Drosophila melanogaster: one gene and its partners. The protein of the gene in region 3 purifies or fractionates together with the protein of the main gene of each other region. This does not show direct contact. Each region holds a gene or a part of one and is shown on either strand. Other genes may lie near its edges.

Region 1 (4,287 bases), on a different chromosome or scaffold from region 3:
TTCAAAACCAAAGCAATGTCATTCTGCTGGTCTACGGAATTAGGCAACTATTGGTCATGTACAATGCCCTTCTCCACCTCGTGTGTGGATATATTTCAAAATTTTAAGCGGATCCAGGTGAAATCGTTGTCGTTTATGGCATCCCATCTGAATGTTGGACCCACTCGGAAAATGCGCAGATGACCATTAGCAATAGTAGAAAATTCCATTCCATGGAAGCCATCTCGATACCCCAGAACCCAATCCGATACTGACCAAGCTCTCCGGCACATCTGCCGTCTAGATTGACAAGTGAGATGGCTATTGCAACAGAGATAAATGAGTTCCAGAGATTTTCCTCTACTTTTCCATTAGAATATGGGAAATTACGTGGGCAAGCTACTACCAGACTTTGCTGATCACAGATTGACAGAAAAGTGGTTCGATATTATTACAACCGGTTGTGCTCGCAAAACTTGACAGTGCCGATCTCATGTGAATTGATTAAACCCCAATATCTACATCGCGCTTTTCACATGGTTATCATGTATTTAAGTATGTATTCATCATGGCTCCAATTTCTGCTTTATCCAATCGATGAAAGCCCCCGTGCGGGTATAGACGCCGGGCCATCCCTTGAGGCCGCAGGGCTTCGTCCCGTAGGAGGTGACGCCGGCAATGTAGAAGACATCCCGGCCGCCCGTGGATATAGGCACCATAAGGGGACCGCCGGAATCGCCACCGCATGTATCCACGCCCAACTGGCCGCCGGCACACATCTGAGAATCGTCCAGTTTCACCTTGAAGCTGGAGTACTTTTCCTGACAACTCGTTAGGTTCCAAACGTTGACGGTGATCTTCAGCTTGATCGCACTTGGCTGCATGTTCTCGGTAAGTCCCCAGCCGGCCACATCCATGCCGTAGTCCACAAAGTTGTTTTGGACTAAACCATCCGTGGGAAGGCATATTGGACGCACGTAGTCGGTGTAGCTGTGGCAAAAACAAAAAAGCAAGTCAGTGGAATAATTGAGGGATCTCTGGACCACATACCTAACAATCCTCTTAAGGCGCACCAACGCAATGTCATTACGCTGATCAACGGAATTGGGAGCATACATCTCGTGGATGATGCCCTTCTCGACCTCAATGTCGATGTGTTTCGGTGCACAGATGCGCTGTCCGTTCATCTGGGTGGTGCAGTCAGGATCGGTACGAGTGTCCCACTCCCCCAGGCGAACGCTGTGTAGAACGGCACCGGATTTGTCCAGTTCTCGGCTGGCCAGGCAGTGTCCAGCGGTCAGGACGTAGCGCGAGTTGAGCAATGCACCGCCGCAGTTGAAAGTGTAGGTTTCAGAAAAAACTGAAAGGATAAAGAGCGTTTCCCAAGTACATATTATAAATTGATTAGATACTAATAATAGCCTTGTATATATTGAATATGCGTTTTCTTATAATGATGATCCCCCCATTGGAGAATTTGATTTGAAAAAGTGATTAAAAAATGATTACAGGTGACCTCGTGAAACAACCTTCCTATAAGAGATTAAAATAGAGCCTGGGTAGGTAATCTACTCACGTTTTTTGTACTGCAGCAATACCATCCATGGGAATTCCCAGAGGGTCGTATTGGTGCCCCCGAAAATGCGATCAGCGAAAAGGAAGCCGCAGACGTCATTTCCAGGCAGCACATCCCCCTGCTGCAGTGCATCCCTCGTCGAAGGAGTTGGTTCCGAGTCCATGATATTGCCCCGCATGCTCTGCGGACAGCAGACCAGGATTCGATTCACCAAGCCCTCAACCCTGTTGTCCAGGCCACACTGGCTCTTGGAGAGAAGGATTCGCTGGGCGGGAGTCTTTGGCTCCACCATCAGCAGGTTGGCCAGGTAGGGGCAGCTGGTGATGTGAACGCACTGGCCGCGCTCATCGCTCTGCTGGGGCGTACAACTGCCAAAGCTGATCTCCGCTGCGTCTGGAAGAGAAGAGCGCGATTTACGATGCAGTCTAACCGGTTCTGAACCAATCCATTAAAGGCAATCCATTCTACTAATGGACTTCATGTCTAATATTTCTCATAAAATTTCTTAGTCCGGGAAACTATATGTTGATATTTAATATATTTGAAGTTTTCAAAAACTCTTTGATTATTAGTTGTTATGGTTTTTATTCTCACAATCAACAAGGTCAAGTGCTTAGTTTTTCTAGCTTTATTCAAACTATATACTATACTATACTATATATATAGAACTATATACTTTTGAAAGAAGCACCATTGCATCCAGTTGCTGTGGATATTGTTTGCCCAAAGGACAGCTTACCCACCTGATCGATGGACCAAGCCGGATAATGCGCTGACCACCAGTGACAGTAGCAGAAAATTCCGTTCCGTAGAAGCCATCTCGTCGCTATGGGCTCCAAGCTGATACTAACCAAGCTGTCCGGCAGTTTCGCTGTCACCGATTCTCTCCCGATGCATTGGGCGTGATTAGCAGAGGTTATCTCCGGACTCAATACCATCTAGATTGCAACAAAGGCAAAAGCTATGTGAATAGGGTGGTCTTTCCCTGCCTTAATATTTACATAGTAGTTCTGCTGAGCTGGGCAAACCCAGCGGTGTAGTTATTAGAAATTTATTTATGCTTAATCTTCTCTCGGCACGTTATGTTTTTTGAACAACACGTTTTTTAAAAAACAATCTTCAGTGCTTTTTCTTATCTTTTGGGGTTTTATAGGTCTATTACTTTATAGTAGTGGATTAATGGAACAGATGCTATTCCAATTTTGCAAATATGAATTCTTTATTAAAATTAGGGAGCCAAATTCGCTTTGATCCACTCCGAAAAGTGGCCAATTTTTGTGTAAACACCTGGAATACCAGCAGAGTAGCAATATTGTTGTCCATATGAGGCAATGCCTGCCAAAAAGACGAACTCGTCGACGCCGCTTCCCATGATGCCCATTACCGGACTGCCGGAGATGCCCGCACAGGTGTCCCCTTTCCGTTGACCACCGGCGCATACTTGGGACGCGGAGCGAAAGCTGGGATACCTATTCAAGCAATCAGCAGGATTCCTTTCCTTGACCGTGCTGGTGATCAACGTTTGACTGCTTTTAGTCGGATCCCAGCCAGAGATTTGCAAATTCAAATCCTGTAGGGGAAATTCGGCGTCCAATAGACAAATGGGTTGGATCTTTTTCGTGTATCTAGCGGGTTTGTAAAGAAATTTCCATAAGATGTGGAGATTAGGGTGGAGATCACTGCTACTCACCGCACTGGGAATTGCAATCGGAGGAGGGCGATGTCGTTGCGGTAAGTTCCGCCACTCGAAGTGAAACCCTGATGTACTGTTGTTTGCCCCACCTCCACATCCAAATGTGGACACCTGCTTTCCGAGGTGATGCAGTCGGTAGTGGACTCGCCCAGGCGCACACTCTTCAGAACCAGGTCATTCTGCGTCAAGTAACCACCGATCACGCAGTGGGCAGCGGTCAGCACATAGCGACTGTAAAATCCCAAATGAGAAGACTTTACTCGTTGAGTTTTTGTAAGAAACTAATTTTATTTGGAAATATCTTCGGTTTAAATAGGTGACATGAGAATCGCATCTTAAAGTAAATGGCCTACGCAGAGGCCTAAGTAAATAGTCCCCGCCTTATCGAGGTCCCACGCTCGGGCACATCTGCCTATCTTGAGCGGCGAGGACCTTATCTGTGGTCTCCCACTAAGGGACTATTTTAGGAGGCGGGGAAAGATCTCAAGTGACTGACTCATGTAGTGTGCACTTAAATTACATGTTTTTGAGCAATGCACCCATGTCGCCTTAGATAACAAAATCCTAAATATAATTTATCGCTCTCGATTCATTTACATAAGATATGAACGGAGCCCAAAATTGTAAGTCTTTAAATATATTCGTGTTCATGTGTGAACAGCGACTGTTGATCAGTGAGCCCGCACAACCAGTTCGTTGATTCCACATCAAGGATAGCCGATTCTCATATAACAGCAATACCATCCAAGGGTACTCATTAAGCTCTGCATTCTCGGCACCCCGATCTCGGAACACGGGCGTCGTTTGTCCACAGGTCTGTTTGTTGGGCAAGACGTCACCCAACTCTGGGCAGCAGACATAAACCATGTGCAACAACTCGTGTCCATTGGGGTCCAGGCCACACTGCCTGTGTGCAAACACATCTTTCTCCGCCTGGGTCATGCCCCGGGGCCTAAGGATGTTCATAAGCGGCGAGCAGCTAACCAGTCTGGTGCATTTCTCATCCTTTTGGCAGCTTGATAACCGAACTATAAATTAC
Region 2 (4,548 bases), on a different chromosome or scaffold from region 3:
TCGACCACAGCACCCACCTTCGATCCTATATCGTCATAGGCACAGACATTACGTATGTATAACTCACGCAGCTATGCTTAACTAAATTATATACCATGCATATAATAGCTGAACGCTGATCGGCAATGAGACGATAATTCAAACGGAGATGATCTACATATGTACGTTAAGTTTATGGTAAAAAGTCGATTCAAAAATGTTGAAACATACACACACAAAAAAAAAATTAAATTAGCATTAAGTTTGCAATGGATGAAAGCAGTGTAAAAATCATCAGCAAAACGCTAAAACGCAAAAACGATAAACATTTTATGTGGTGAAGTCTGAAAATGATTTAATCAAGTTACCAAGTAAATCTAGTTAAAAACAAAACACGAATCAACGCGGATTGAAATGATTAAAAAAAAAAAAAAAATGATTTAAAAACGAGAGCAAGGCGAAAAGTTGCGTTGTATAATTTTGTAATGTAAAAATAACTTGTATAAGCAAATCCTTGTTTTGTTTTTATTTAAATTACCTATGTACGTTTATTTAGATTTAAAGTAATTAAACGAAAGAAGCGGAAAATACAGAAAACATTAAAACACTCTTATTGTAAGCGAAAACACACAGAAACATTGCTTCTCCTCCGGCCCTGTTGTGGGTAAATCCCATCCAGAGCTCTGCAACCGGGTAAGTGCAAGCTACCAATCCTCTCTTGGCTTTCAGCTCTGAACCTCAGAGGCTCAGTTGAAAATCAAATCGTTGTAGTTGCGGAGCAGGTGATAGGGAGACACACGGCAGCAGGTGGTGGTGCGCACCACGGTGATGCGATCGGCACGCTCAAAGTTGGCCTTGACCGTCTCATAGTAGCGACCATCGCTGGAAGCGAAATATTGATGTTAATCCCGCATAGAAATAGGAGTCTGATGTAGACCCACCTGAGCACCATGCAGCGCAGCTTGAGGCACTTGACGCGCAGAATATCGATGGCCTTCTGGCTCTTGTCGGAGAAGCGCAGGTTGTCCGGATCCCAGCGCAGCTCCAGCCGCTCCAAGTTGCCGCAATTCGAGGCGATGGTGTCCATCAGCTGGTCCACGTGGATGTTGACGCCCAGCTTCTCTGCGGTGCCCATAACAATGATCCTGCAGGTTAAGAAAGTTCAGCTCATAATAAAATGTCTTTTCATTCGATGACCAATAGTGTCGCCTACTTGCAGTTGCCCAGCAGGGGCAGGATGCTCATCCACAGCTGGTCGGTGATGTGGGGCATGCCCGAGAGACAGCAGGCGCTCAGCTGATGACCCTGGCGCTGTATAAACTTAAGCAGGCCCTCATCCGAGATGTTGTCCGAGGAGTCCAAGTCCAGGGAAATGAGCGACCTAAATCATACTGCTATCGGAGTGCTTACACAGACGGGTAGGTACTGTCTCCGCTCACCTGGTGGTGCCCGATTCCATCCACTGCTTGAGAACGCTGTCGTTGAAGCCATTGATCTGGCCGGCTGAGAGGAACTTGAGGCTGGGGATCCTGCTCAGCATGTCCACGAGGCATTCGGTCGAAAGATCGGTGGCCGTGATGTCCAGCTCCTGCAGGGCGCACTTGTCCCACTCGGCCTGCATGACGAACTCCGACTTCAGGCTGGTGCCGTTCATGAGCAGGCAGGTGAGGCGCTTGGAACGCTGGATCAGGGTCTTCAGGGTGGAGCCGGTCACTTTGTTGCAGAAGTTGACGGCCAGGCACTCCAGCTGGATGCAGTTCGAGCTGAAGGCGTCGATGTGCGAGTCATCGATGAAGTTGATGCCGTACAGGTTGATCACACGCAAATTGGGCGTGGCCGACTTGAGCTTGTGCACGTTGATCACCTCGTAGATCTCCTCCTCCTCCTCCTCGCACTTCTCGTACGTGCCAATTAGATGCAGCACCTCCAGGCCGTTGATGAAGTTGTAGATTTTGCGCATGAAGCCCTCCATGAAGATCACCTCCGAGAGGCAGACGCACATGTAGCGCAGCTTGGTGGGAAAGGCCTGCATCTCGCTGAAGTCGTGCAGCTGCATGGCTAAGAAGTACACAGGACACTCTAGAGTTTAAGACGGACGATCGGCGACGTGGCGCACCCACCTGTGGAGAAGTCCAGCAGCATGTGGGTCAAATTGGGGCACTTGGCGGACAGTTCGTGGAGCACCGTGTGCGTGATCAGCTCGATGGGCAGCTCGATGTAGCGCAGAGTCGGTCCGAATCTCACCGAGATCAGCTGCAGCAGCATCTCCAGCGAGCCCACGTGCAGTCCGGAGACCTCCGGTCGCAGGCTCACGTTCTTCCACAGCCGCGTGTCGTATGCAATCTGCCGCCATCGTCGGCAAATCCTGGCCAGGCGGCAGATCTCGCGGTGCGACAGATACGAGAAGATGTGCAGCAGCACCTTGTCCGGCAGCTTCTCAATGGTCTGTGGATGAGAGTCACGATATATAGTGGTATATCCTATGGTACTACATAAGTGATTCAAATATGATCTCTAAATGTAAATCTAAACGACAGTTCGGAATAGTTGAGTGCGAATGTGGTGCTATATATTCTACGGGTGAGTGAATCTATAGATACTCTCTCTTACGCCACAGACTGGCTCTCCCAAATGAGTGGGATCCCTAAGTAATATCCCAAACCCATCGTACCGTATCGGCGAAGGGACTGCGAACTGTGCCGTCGGAGAGGTAGACCTGCGATGCCTCCACGGCCAGCTGACCCCAGATATCGGTGGATATATCCATGGCTGGGTGTGGATGATTCGGAACCACTTGCTTATATAAAAAAAAAATATAGCTACACACGGGGCAAACTACGCGTGCTCTGCCTGCGAGGCGAGAATATCCGTCGTATCGAGCTACTTTCGCGCTACTGCGAGCCGCATTCCCATCGACGTGCCATCGGAATCTCCAAAGATCCGCCAGGCAGTAGTAGACTCAAGAGAACCCTAGGCTTATTTATAGACCAGCGCCAGTAACGAGAGCACTGCCACATCGCATCACTCAATCACTCTACTTTCGGATGCATCAGCTGTGCTGTTCACGGGCGACGCACCACACCACTCACGCACTCTTTAAGAACAAATAGAACCACTAGAACCACCAGCACCACTCACCCAGCGGTGCACGTGGAGAAACATGCTGATAAAATCCCTGCCAAATCTCTTCCTTTCCTCGTCAGATTCAAAATCATTAGTAAGCTGTATAAAAGTATCTCGAGATATTTTACTATATTTTACTTATATCTAAAAGTATCTGATATTGCTGATAGTATCTACCTTTTGTAGGTTCGGATAACCTATGGATTCATCTTAAGATATTTCTACTTCTTAGATACTTTAAGATGCATCTGAAAATGCTTCTGTTTCCCGAGGAATAACCTTCTGAGCTTTATCCTTTAGCGCCTACTTTAAGATACATTTCCGCACAGCCTGCTTTTGCATATATATATTTAATAGTAATAATAGATTTCGAACCCCTTTTACTTTCTCAGTGCACAATGTTTGTTGCCAAGAATTCTATATATACGCCATCGTTCGTCTGTCTGGCTTTGTTTTGTTTACTACATCTAATATGTATATCTATCTGCACATGTGTATGTTCTATGTACAGGGTACTCACCAGTCGGGTCTTCACCACGCCAGAGTCGTGGAGTCCGATGGCCTGCGAGGAGGTTTGCGCTGCCAAAACATTCCAATTATCCATGGTGGGCACTGCGCTCTAGTTCGCGATTTGGATTGGGATCAGCCGGAAAGCTGAAGGTGTTCGCTGTCTCAGCTGTACAATATGTATGTATGTATGGTCTTGCTGGATCCGTCCGCTTCTATCTATGTATCTATGTATCTATGTATCTAACTAAGGGAGGAGATGTGCCGGCTATACTCGCATGAGATACATTCATTCATGAGCTAAACTATTTCTGCAAGGCTTTCCCAATTAGTCACACTGAATTCTGAGCATTTCAAACTAATTGTTATTTAGAAATTATTAGTTTACAAGCAGCTAAGCTAATTAAATTACCACATTTTGAAGCAAATTAATAGGAAATCTATATTCAGTAGTCTATTAGTTCTGGAAAGTATAAGTATATTAAGTAAGCAAGCGAAAGCAGTTAGTTAAAACTTCGTTTTTACTATGTTATTTACCCATTTGATTAGTTGATCAAACGAAATTGTTAGACACTTTCCGCAAATAAACGAGTGCGAGAAGGAAAGCTTTTAATTAATTAATTAATTGATGCCCGCAGGCGATTAAAATAGCAAATTCACAATTATGCAAACTCAGTGAACACACACACATTGTTCACTTGCGACTTTTGATTTTCGACGAGGATGGGCGTCACATCTGAATTTGTTTCATCCTTCGCCCGGTTTATTAATAGTTTTCCCTCAGCTGGTGGATCTGGTGGAAAAAACTGTTGGGGTTGCAAGTGCAACGTGGAAAGTGCAGTTTCGTAACTTTAGCACTTTCGTTGCAAGTTGAAAAAAAAAACTAGGGAAATTCACTTGGCAAATTCACTTATTCTGTTGCAAATTACTGGCAAATCG
Region 3 (7,783 bases):
TTCGTACAGAAAATATTAAAGAAATCAAAATAGGTGTTCGAAACATCAACTCTTCAAGTTTTTAAAATAAAATCATTTTAAATAAAGTCAAATTATCCTACATCAATGATTTCTTTAATGTTCAAATTTGACTAGCATTTAACTTTTTATAATCAACTATTTTTTTTTTTTCTAATATAACCAAGTACATTTTCACCTATTTTTTCTTCGTGGAAAAGGGATGTTGAATGAGGAGCGAGGATCCGAGCCAAGAGCCGCATACAAATGAGGCGTACCCAATGTTGACAATGAATATTAACCTTGAGTGGTGCCCCAGCCGGTTTTTGCCTGGCCAAGGTCATCTCATCCCATCGCGATGCCAGAGGATGTGGATGCGGAGATGGTGTGATGAGATGGTTGCCGATAATTGCCATGGGCATCGACTGGAGTCGACCTAATGGAAACGCGGTGAATGTCATTCGCGTTGATGTGTGTAATCGATTCTGCAGAGTTGTTTTATTAAATGAAATGCTAAAATGCAATTTATTCGATTCAAAATTACATTGCATGGCTCTTAAACTATTAACGTAACAACCGAATAAATGTTTCATACGACCTTGATGGTACAGATTTCTCGGGACTTATAGCGACAGCTGATACAAATATCTCAGATTGAAAGCCTCGTGTTTGCCCACAGAAACTTTATGAGATGCACTTCGATCCGGAGAAACAGTTTCCACTTCTACTTGAATTCTACTATATAATTTCATTGGTCTTAGCTGCTATCGATTGGGTTCACATGCGAAGTTTGCATTCACAGTCACTTGGCTGGTTTTCCAGTTAGCTATTTGGCTGCTTTGCACCTCGACATTAAGGCAGTTGGAGAACAGCTACGATTGAGACTGGATTCAGACTGCTAACCCAGTTTTAATAATCACGAAGTGGAAGTTACTCCGCGGTAATTACCTTTTGCATTCGCTAGATTTTTCAATTTTTTTTTGCTTTTCGCCTTTTGTTTGCGGCACGAACGGCAGTTTAGCTTTTCGGTGACTGACATATCGCATCGTATAAATCTCAACTTAAGTCGAAATTTAATAATTTTAGAGCCCAGGCATTAGGAGTTTTGCTGGGCTCGAAAATTTTAAATTCTCGCCTTGCTACACCGATGCAACACTGGGAGAAAAGCCCTATGCCTGGTCCTTCTTTTTACGCCCGAATGTCTCTCCGTCCTCCAGGGTTTCCGGCAGTGGAGTTCCACGTGTCTCCGGCAAGAAAATTGTGCCGAGCATTGCCAGAATGGAGAAAATTCCAAAGATCAGGGGCGCCACCCACAGACCGTATGCAGCCAGATCGACGATGAGCGGAGCAACAATGGAACCTATTCGACCGACCATCGAGCAGAGACCAACCCCACTGGAACGCACAACCGTGGGAAAGAGCTCTCCGCCGTACAAGTAGACATTCGGAAAGGTGATTGATGCGCCAAAAAGTCCAATTGTGGCGCAGGTCACACGCACAGCCTCTGCCTGAGTAGAAAGGCATGCCAATAGGATTAAGCCCAAAGCACTGCATCCATTGGAAAGAAGCAGGGTCTTCTTGCGTCCGAGGTACTTGGTCATGAGCGCACAGAGGCATGTGCCTGGAATGCCCACTCCGGCGGCGATTGCATTGCTGATGAAGATGTTGCCGCCCAGCGCGGAGACATACTGAGCGGTGCCGTAGTAGACCATGCAAACCACTAGCCAATTGTTTGCCATGAATATGGTCTTTATCCGCATATAGGGTGTCCGGAATAGATCCACGACGGTGCCTTTTTTGACCGGCTGGCGGGCTGCCAGTGCCCCATAGGCAGCTTCGATCTCCGGCCGAATCGTTTCCGTCGGAGCCTTATTACACTTGGCGATCTTCTCCAGAATCTTTATGGACTTGTCCAGCTTGCCGGTGGTAAAGAGCCAGCGTGGCGACTCGGGAACCAGCCAAATGTAGATCACGAACACGATAGAGAAAATGGTGATGCTGAACTGGAACCAGCGCCATTCTCGAATAAAGTAGGCAAACAGGGCCAGGGAGGCGTGGCCGATGTTAAAGGGGATTTGGTAGAGAATGGCTACCATTTCGCGCTTTTTGGGTCCCACGATTTCCATCAGCAAGACGAAACTGCGGATGGGATTAGTCATTTATATTACTGGGAATATCCTTGGTAGTGCCTTTACACCCACCTGGTGGTCATCGTTCCCGCCGTGGCCACAGCCACCAGGAACCTAAAGAGGCAATAGAACCAGTAGTAGGGGGATACGCAGACGATGAGGCCAGTGATCAGCTGCATGAAGCAGCACGTCAGGAAGGCAGGGCGTCGTCCATACCTGGGAATTGAAAAATTCTATAGTAGGCGGACTAACTCAAAAACAGAAAAATTGTTTTAAAACTAATAAATAGGTGTTCGCTAATGGTCCACCAGTTAATCTAGTGGTTTAACTAGTAAGCCAGCAAAGGCTCTATTTTACCGACTTGCTTTCAGGTTTCTTTTAGCATAAGAAAACTTATTAATAATCTTGAGATACTCACCGATCAGCGAACATGCCAAACAGAATACTCCCGAACAAAATGCCCAGCATGACGATACTTTGGGACAAGCTAGCCAGCTGTTTGCTTTCGCAGGTGAGATTCCACTCGGTTATGATGGTGGATTGGAAGACGCTAGTGTCGAACTCGGTCTCGGAGCATTCGTCACTGCAGGGATCCGTGACGTTCTCTGTCTTGCAGGATAACGGCGTTGGTGCTGCGAGGAATATGTGGCCGAGGGTGTGCCATCCCGTGCCAAATTTGCACAGTAGAACGATGAAGAAAAAGAATAACTGGTAGCGCCGGAAGTCGCCGATCTGCGAAATTATCGGATCACCTGTCTTGGTGACGGGTTTCAGTGGCTTTGGAGCCTTTGGATCCTGCGGTCGATCGGCCATGTTGCTGAAAACTAATGATTTTTGGCTGTCAGTCAAAAAAAAAGTGTATATTTTGAGTGTTTGTAAAATATTCTAAATTTGTTTTTTTCAGTGCAGTGGCCTACCAAGCCGACTGGTTTCTTAGTGGGTGGACTTTCTCAAATATTTGCCGGCCTCAGAGCAAATTGGACATATCGACCGGTGCGGCTCAGTGCAGACTGGCGTGAAATATGGAACCCGGGCAGATGGAGATTTCGTTTGCGACCGGCCACCAGAGAACCGGTTTTCGCGGAGAGAGAGCTCCAGTCTGTGGCAGCGTGACAAGTTGGAGCTCAAAGACATAGCAATCGGCGGGGCTGGGGGCATTAGCACTTGGCCGCTTGGATCCACCGCCAAAATGGCATTTGAAAATAGAAATAGGAGTACGGCCTCCATGCGCCGCTGCAGTTTGTCAGCCCAAAAGGCCAAGAGACTGGGGCTAAGACGCTAAACTTTTACTCTTTAAGTAGGTAAATGAAGTTGGCTGCCTGGTTAATTGAAGGAAGGTGCGCCCGGGGACCCGGCCCGATGATGCTGGGATCTAGCTGGCAGATTAAGCCATTGTCTGCCCGCAGATAACCGAACGAGCCCCAGTTACCCATTAAGATGGCTTAATTAAGGAAGCACTGCCTCAGTGAAAGTTGAACCGGAGAGAGAGACGAAGGTCTGAGATTTCTGGTCGGAGATTCCGCCACAAGTTCCCACGGCAACGACAACCTGTCTGGCGAAGGCATTTGGCGCAATCGTCAGTGGCTGGCAAAATGTCACAACAATTGCAAATAAATTATATATGCAAATTGGCTGGCCAATGAATGACAAAACGCAGCGTTATAATACGATCGCCACATGCTAAATCTGGCAAGACACAAAGCGCTCACTTGGGAACTAAACAAATGCCCAATGTTTAAAGCAATGCCATTGTCTGCATTCATGGCATTTGAATGTTGTCCTGCTCATTTCAATTGCGATTAACATATTTTACCTCATTTATATATGTGAGGCAAAAAGCACTTACCTAAAGAGCCGATTTAAATGGCAATCAAAACAAAAACAGTTATAAGTAGGTCGAAACCAATTCTATTTATATTAAGTAATCGGAACTTTTCGGGGGCTTGTCTACCGCCCGAGTTATATAACTCAGCAAGTTGATTGATAATACTCTGTTCGCAATCTCGCACTTTTTGAACTACGTCTGGTGGGCTTCGACGCTCTACTATCAATGGCAGAAAAATCTCATCTTGTCTCGCCGGATGAGAAAAGCAACTGAGATGGCGATAAAGTCGTGTGTACTTTAATCCCAGATGATAAGAGGCGTTCGACAAGCGTCGCGAATATGACAAATAATGCCAAATGCCCTGAACTTCTGGCCAACTTGTGCGAGATAACACGTATATATTGTTTACCTGCAGAAAGCCTTTGGGCAAATGTTAATCATATAATCAGTTGAGCACACATTCAGCTTAGCCTACCTTATAGCTCCTGTATTCCAAAATAGATGATGTTTTGTATAAATTAATAGAGATGTCTCGCCGTGAATCCGATAGCTGATCACAATGAAATCCAAACATAATCACGCAGTGTTCATCAGTTTAGCACGCGTTTATCAAACTCCAAAATGTTTGGTTTACCCATGATATTGAAAGTCCAAATATCAATAAAGCGAGTCGCATTGTTGACTTATTTGGCAAGACGATAATTGAGTATAATTTTAGTAATATTTTTAGTTCCTAAACGTTTCCTGTAGATACAAACTTTTGATTTGTGCAAATCAACTTATTAATATGTTAAGGTAATAAATTATCCTAAAAAGACACATTTTAATTACACGTGACTAATTTTTAAAAGATGTATTGATGTTAAGAGCTACCAGTTCAGTAATGTATTAATATAGTATATATTAACGATGTGTTGTATATTTTGTATGAGTCACATGCTATTTTGAAGTTGAGAATTCCACCAAATATTTACTATACCCTTTATTAATATTATTTATTTATTTATTTAAATCTGAAACTAAAATTTCAAGGCCCAGCCGATATACTGTGTATTTGCGAAACTAAATCCATTTAAATGGCCCCGTTTAATATTTACATTTGGTGGGCTGACAAGTGTTCTAAGCCGATTTCAGTGCCCCGAATGGGCCGGCAAGCGGACTGTTTGGGCCAGATATTTTCCAGGGGATATATATATGGCCCGGCAACGCTCCAATTAGCACACAAAAGGATTACAGGGGAAATGCCAAATTTCTGGCGCTGCACAGAGAAGCACTTGGCAAGGCCAACAAATGTTTTGGGCCGGCTTTGGAGCGCTTTGCGGTTTTTCTTCCATAATTGCCGAACGGGCTAGGTCCGAACAGGCCAGGTCCGAGCTGAACTGAACTGAAGTGGACAGTGGTCGAGTGGACGAGGATTGCGAGGAATCCACTTGAGGTCCAGCGAGCAAATCAAGCGGCAGGCATTTAATTTCAAACTGCCCCCTCATCCGAACACACCATGGTGCAATCAAAATATTTTATAGGTTGGCCATAAAGAAATTCATAAAGCGAACGGCAGCAGCAGAATCAGCAGCAACTGCAACTCTGCCAATTCATACGAAAATTGCTAACTCAGCGCTCACATATATCATTTTTATGCGCGGCCACGCCCCTTTCAGCTCGTAGTAAATTGACAAATGCAGCGCGCCAAGTCTGTGAGATGTCTTTGCCACTATTTAAGGTCTTTCACGAGGGGATCGAGGTGGAGTTGGAGGTGGAGCTGGATGCTGCATGGCAATGAAAAAGCGCACCGAAAACTATGAGCAACGCTTAGCGAAATAAAAGTGCTTGTAATATGTAGTTAAAATCCAAGTAAGGCGATTAATGCGAGAGCATGGCGACTGGGAGATGCTCTCCAATGATTATCTCAGAAACGAAATAGATAAATATTTAGTGAATTTTAAGACTTCTAATAACAAGGTAGAGAAATTTCAAGCGGAAAACTTACCTGTGCCAAGACTAGCTCCTTTCTGGATCAGCACTTCACACCTGCCAAGTGTTCGCTTCCAACTGCGAAAAATCAATATACTCACCTTACTTTATAAATGGAAAAATTGCCAAACCACCCTTGAAGCAGAAACACACCTTAACCTGCCTGTTTACTTATCGAGCATCTGCCTGTCTGTCTCACTGCAATTAGCTACCTGAGTGAAGGGAAAATGCATCAAAGTGTTTGAAAGTAATGAAAGTACGTGTTTCATTCATTAGAATTATAAAAGTATGCCACACCATATGATTAATAATATGGATACTCGTACACTTTTTGTATCGTACACTATTATATCATCTTCTTTACTTTATTAGCTTAGATTGCTGAAATGCCCAGTCTGAGATTGCAGGGTATGCGTTGTGAGAAGAAGCAGCTAGAAACAAAGAGCCGCATCAACGGTTTTGGCTCTGGTTGCCTTGGCTTTTTACCCCGTCCGTCCTCTGTAATCGCCCCTTAGTTCTTCTCTAAATCCTCTTTGATTAAGTGCTCAGTCTTTTATGTGGAGATTTTTTAATCGTTACCTCGTCCTCCCAGCAACGAGGAGGACCGCAGTCCGCAGTCTGTTGTCCGAAGGGCGTCCATGTGACCATGCCCCGTAGATTAATCGCTAATCTGTCCCTAGAGGGCGTACTGACATTTTTAAAAACTGCGCACTGTCCAGCAGAGCCAAGGAAGCTGCCTCATGGCTGTCCACTTCATCCCGGGCCATTTGAAGATGTCTTTGGTTTTTATTGTCGGACGGCACTTGGGCACTTCCATCATTCCCATTCCCATTCCCGTTCTCGTTTTCTTTCGAGGATCCGTAGGACTCGCATTCGGACCACGATTCGCACCTCTTATTCAGTGCCTTTTCAGCCGCCCTTTTTGGCTTTATAAATAAATTAATAAATTTTAGCCAGCATTAATTATTGTGCTGCTTGGTCGGGTGCGCAGATTAATGTTTTAATTTCGCTAGCCTAGGCTTCGATTAATTTATGCGCGCCCTGTTTGCAATTTGTGCGCCATTTTTTGAGTAATTTCGCCTGGCCGGGGGCGATAAAGTGCATTAACATGGAATGCGGCTGCCGCTGCGGGCAGCTAAAATTGTTAATTTCGAAGCATCATAAAACGCGGCGATATGTTGCAGTTTCGTTGCCGGGCCCCTTTCAATTTACACTGGACGAACTAGCCGGTCGTCCTAATGTGTGTCACATAAATCAGCGGACGGCTCATCCAATGCGGCTGCCCATTTCGGTGGTTTCGGGGCTAGGGATTAATCCCAGAAGCTGGTGGGGTTGATGATGAGCGGTCTGCCAACACTTCACAGATTGATGAGTGACCTGATCATTAGTTGTTGGCCGACTAGGTCGTTGCTGCTTAATCGGTTGAATACTTCGTTAAGACCAGATTAAATTCAGGTTTTTATCGCACTTAAGTCATTTATACACTAATCACTTTCAGGAAAAGTATTAGGTTACCCATTAAACAATTTTTAGTTAATGAGCTTTATACCTATGAAGAACCATTTATCCAGCTTACTAAATATGGAAGTAGAAACAGTATGACTACTAGTTCAGGGTTCATAGAAACTTTTGGTTTTTCAAGGTACATATGTAGGTATCGGTTCTAATGAATTTGATGGCCAGCAGCCTTGTCGGGCCTTGTGTTACCTGATTTACGCGTGACGGGCACGCAAATCGAGGCGTTTAATTTCCGCCGCCGACAGCAGTTCTCACCGCAGCCTGTCAGTCAGCTGGGCAGCTGTCATAATACCGCTCAGCGAACCACCACCCACGACCGCCGATGACCTCCGACCCAGGAGTA
Region 4 (3,946 bases), on a different chromosome or scaffold from region 3:
GTAGCCATGGGAACCAAGGCGGCGTCCTAGCCGGCTCCCTTCCAGGCGCTGCTTCACCTTTACCACTCCACCTATCCGACCATCCACCGTCGTGACTCAGCCCCAGTGACATTGCATTTGCATGTGACTGCCGCTAATTGCTGTAATTCCCGCGCTGGACTTCGACTCCAACTTCCAACTTTGCCGGCACATAATTGCACTCTCCTGCTCCGATGTCCTTTCTCCTCCTGTACAGTTCCGTGCCAGGTTTTCCCTGTTCTTGTGGCTTCGTTTGGCTCACATTCAAACTTCAAGTGGTTTTTTGGGACATGCTTTCCTCGGCGTTTTTGCTTTCCTTCCGACACTTTTGACTTACTTTATGGCCCGGTCGATTATGCTCGCCTTATCGGGCTTTAAATGGGTCTGTAGTTCTATAGGGGTGGAATATCCAATCTCCTAATGCGATTTCTTGATTGAAAATACATTTCCTTTCATAATTTAGCACTACATTTTAAGAATATGCCACTGAAAAGAAGTCAACTGATTTAAGAAAGAATTTCTAAATTAAACATTAGGTCATTGCTTTATTATTGTAGCTACAATAAACAAGAACTTAAGGCTTTAAGGATTCATAATCTGTTTGGAGAACAATTCTGTAGCATACAAATTTTTGCTAGTTTAATGACGTGTAACAACATAATTATTTTGATGTGCTCGTTGGTGAATCGTCTGCCTATTAAAAAAAAATCACACTTAAAATAATCTTAAGTAAGAGACTATATTTGATAACGAAAATCCTGTAGATGTTTGGCATGATTGATTGCTATCCTAAGTTAATGACAAAGAGCATTATTTTTGCATCACAAGTACTTGGCATCTTAGCTATCGTATTCTATGGTTTGGCTGCGAATTTCATTCCAACTCAGCTTACAATTAAATGAAATTAACATAAATAACATAGTAAATTGGCTAGGATTACAGTTCGGTGTGCTTGGGCTTGTTGAACAATCTCTCGCACAGTTTGGCCAAAATCTGGGACACCTCCAGTCGGTACTCGTCCGTGCTGTTGGCATACCGATTGCGAACGGTTAATAGTGCATGCCTGAGACCGGAACTTTGCGACCACGTGCTGGTGCACATATCTTCGGTGGTCTCCAATGCGGTGGCAAACTGTTCCACCACCTCCGGTTGCTCTAGGAGGAGCAGGAACTCCTTGGTTAGCACAGTGTCCACCGCCGCGCAGTAGCCCGGCGTTTTCAGCCACGACTCGAAGTCCAAGAGCACATATTGCGCCATTGTGGATGAGGCTTCGGGATCATCTTTGCTGACATCCAGCACTGACCGCTTCTCCAGCACTAGGTCGCTTATGAGAGTCACTACCTTCGCCTTGCTCCGCAGCTCCACATCCGGACTCTGGAGCACCTTGATCAGAGCCTGTGTACCCGAGGTGGAAAGCACTCGCTGCTGGGCTAGCGGAAATTTCCGCAACAAGGCTCCAAAGGCGTGCAATGCAGCGGAGATCTCACCGACATTTCCGGAACTGGTCAGAATCTGAGCCAGATGAGACCCGAAATTCTTTTCGAACACCTTGATCTGGGCCTTGGGATTGTTGCTCGCCAGCGAGCCCAACACACGCATGGCCGACACTCTCAGGGATGTACTGGTATCGTTCACAACAATGGGCAGTAGTACATCATCCAATCCCCCATTATCAATGAACATCAAGGCATTGTCTATCTGATGGAGCAAATACTCCAGATTTTCCAGGCAGTCCAGCTTGGAGCGCATCTCTGACTCTAGCGGCGTTCTGCTGAAGTTCCGAAACTGATCGATTAACTGGACGATCAGTTCTCCGTCGGTGCGAAAGTTCTTCTGGAACTCTTTGTACGCTTTGCGTAGCTCGGCATAGCTCTTCTTCTGCTCCTTGACCCGCCGTATAGACTCCTCGATTATGTCCGGTTTATAGTCCAGAGCCAGGGGTTCGTTGTCATCGTGAGATTCCCGAGCATTCTGATCATCCGGTTGACTCTGCAGCGACGTGCCACGTTCGCTTTCGTCTAAGAGTTTGGCTTCCTTGAGCCCCGTTTGTAGGTTGATGCGCACGTGCAGGCCCCTTGGAATAGCTTGACCTGGAAATATAGAGTGCTCACTTAGTACACGTCATCCGAGAGTTAGCCTGGCTAGCCATTAACCTTCCGCAATCGTCTGCCATTCGTCGGTGGCCACGAAATCGTTGGTTTTGTTATCCGTTTCCGTTGCCGCTGCCACTTGTAAGCATCCCAGGATCAGGACACTGCCCAGAAGGATGACTACCTGCTTGCCACTCATACTGCTTCAGCTTGTCTTGCCTCCAGAATGTATTCAGTCTTTATTTCACCTGGTTTTAAGTAAGTTTCGTGAGAGTTTTTAAATCAGATTTCAGACTTCTGATGTGGATGTGGTTAATAGTATGACCGTAGGGAGCTGCATTGATTATACCGCATGTGGCGATATGTTCCGTGGAGAGCCAGTCGATTCGGAACCAGTCAAAGGCGGTTACAATTCAATTTCAAATTTGAAAATATTTGTAATCAATAAATTCGTTATAAACAATAGAATATATTAAAGTATTGAAAAAGTGTAAACTATATGTATGCTTTATAATCTTTCTTTATATTTATTAGATTGTGCTGTTGGACATTCCAAGCCAAATCTTATATAAATAAGTAATACAAAAATTAAGTAAAAATTTTTATGGTTAATTTTTGCTCTTAGTCCGGAATAGTTGGAAACTTTAAATGATTTCAAACATTATTTCGCTAACAAATTAATTTTTATCCCTAACGAACACAAATATTAATATTTTTAAACCTTAGTTTGTTGTGAAAAACAAGCATTGCTAGAAATTTCCAGACTTGAAATTAATATTTAAGAACCAGAAAAAGTTAATGCCATTCAGAACGATTAAACCACATCAAACCAGAATGCCACCAAAAATTCCCAAACTCATCGTGAATTCATTAAAAATTGAAAAGTAACCGCCATTCATAAGCTTTCCACTTCGTTACAACGTAGCTAAACTAGTTATAAACTAAACGTATTTACTGAGTTTACAAAGAAAAACGAAATCATGTTTACGCGCAGATGAATCAACCAACTCAAAATTGAAATGCCAAATTATTTGCAGGCAAGCCCGACGTAATAAAATAAAAGCGTGTTTGCATATATTACCATATTTCGCCCCCGAAAATCCGTTGTAATCTCGATGTCTACGACAGCGTCTAGGAATTGGCTGCGCAAACACATCAAAGTGGACAAAAGTGAAATATTTGGACTCACCTGGCGCCAATTGGATGGGTAAATAAACAGAATGCCGGTTTCATGCCAATCACACACCAAATATACATATACATATGTATATATGTAGTATATGCTAATTGCTGATGACGAACGCCAGGAGCCTTTAACTAGAATTTGCCAAATTAAATTCACTCGGCCCGTTCCGAACGTCGCCTGTCCAATAGTTTTGAAAGTGAAGCCACCTCGCCGAGCAACTTTTATCCGTCGATCCATCCATTATCGATTATCGATGCCGTTGGAACCTGTTTGATGTCGTCCAAAATGCCCGACTATGTCTAATTGGTTTATGTCGGAATTGAGTTGTGTTGGCCACAAAAAGATTTATCTTCGTACATATGTCCAAAACGGAAATTTCATAGTTGGGAGCCTTGGGATGCATTCTTCCTTCTGGTCGGAATACAATTTCATAACTTAAGTGATTTTTATCGTGGATCCTTAACCATGACCTATTCATTATCATTCCCTTTCAGATTGCCTGGCCATTTAGCACACTTAGGAATTCCCCCAGAGGTAGGTTCCCAATTCCAAGTGCTGATCTCAAAGCAAATATGGGATGAATAATATCATAAGCCAATAAGTACGAATTGATATTTGCACTTTATTAAAAGTGTGAACAAAGCGCGGATTC

What was found.
Region 1: the proteins of CG8654 (region 3) and SPE purify together in Drosophila melanogaster (affinity purification with mass spectrometry, with the first as the bait; one large-scale study listed by BioGRID). This does not show direct contact.
Region 2: the proteins of CG8654 (region 3) and FipoQ purify together in Drosophila melanogaster (affinity purification with mass spectrometry, with the first as the bait; one large-scale study listed by BioGRID). This does not show direct contact.
Region 4: the proteins of CG8654 (region 3) and Sil1 purify together in Drosophila melanogaster (affinity purification with mass spectrometry, with the first as the bait; one large-scale study listed by BioGRID). This does not show direct contact.

The regions. Positions count from the first base shown.
Region 1 is NT_033777.3:23,684,373-23,688,659, reverse strand, and holds SPE (Spatzle-Processing enzyme), read right to left. Parts: upstream 2,406-4,287; 5' UTR 2,375-2,405; coding exon 2,299-2,374; exon of another isoform or gene 2,123-2,298; intron 1,949-2,122; coding exon 1,556-1,948; intron 1,340-1,555; coding exon 1,030-1,339; intron 970-1,029; coding exon 546-969; 3' UTR 513-545; downstream 1-512. Other genes in the region: CG18754 (uncharacterized protein), read right to left, coding at 2,784-3,180, 3,246-3,479, 3,955-4,276.
Region 2 is NT_033777.3:29,494,876-29,499,423, reverse strand, and holds FipoQ (F-box involved in polyQ pathogenesis), read right to left. Parts: upstream 2,884-4,548; 5' UTR 2,747-2,883; coding exon 2,651-2,746; intron 2,425-2,650; coding exon 2,100-2,424; intron 2,038-2,099; coding exon 1,419-2,037; intron 1,361-1,418; coding exon 1,193-1,360; intron 1,125-1,192; coding exon 921-1,124; intron 862-920; coding exon 726-861; 3' UTR 501-725; downstream 1-500.
Region 3 is NT_033778.4:19,977,465-19,985,247, reverse strand, and holds CG8654 (uncharacterized protein), read right to left. Parts: upstream 6,007-7,783; 5' UTR 5,939-6,006; intron 4,709-5,938; exon of another isoform or gene 4,427-4,708; intron 4,372-4,426; exon of another isoform or gene 3,973-4,371; intron 3,139-3,972; exon of another isoform or gene 3,044-3,138; intron 2,951-3,043; 5' UTR 2,940-2,950; coding exon 2,545-2,939; intron 2,343-2,544; coding exon 2,199-2,342; intron 2,137-2,198; coding exon 1,167-2,136; 3' UTR 353-1,166; downstream 1-352.
Region 4 is NT_033777.3:25,233,091-25,237,036, forward strand, and holds Sil1 (Sil1 nucleotide exchange factor), read right to left. Parts: upstream 2,440-3,946; 5' UTR 2,308-2,439; coding exon 2,172-2,307; intron 2,109-2,171; coding exon 955-2,108; 3' UTR 546-954; downstream 1-545. UniProt on the Drosophila melanogaster protein: Required for protein translocation and folding in the endoplasmic reticulum (ER). Functions as a nucleotide exchange factor for an ER lumenal chaperone of HSP70 family.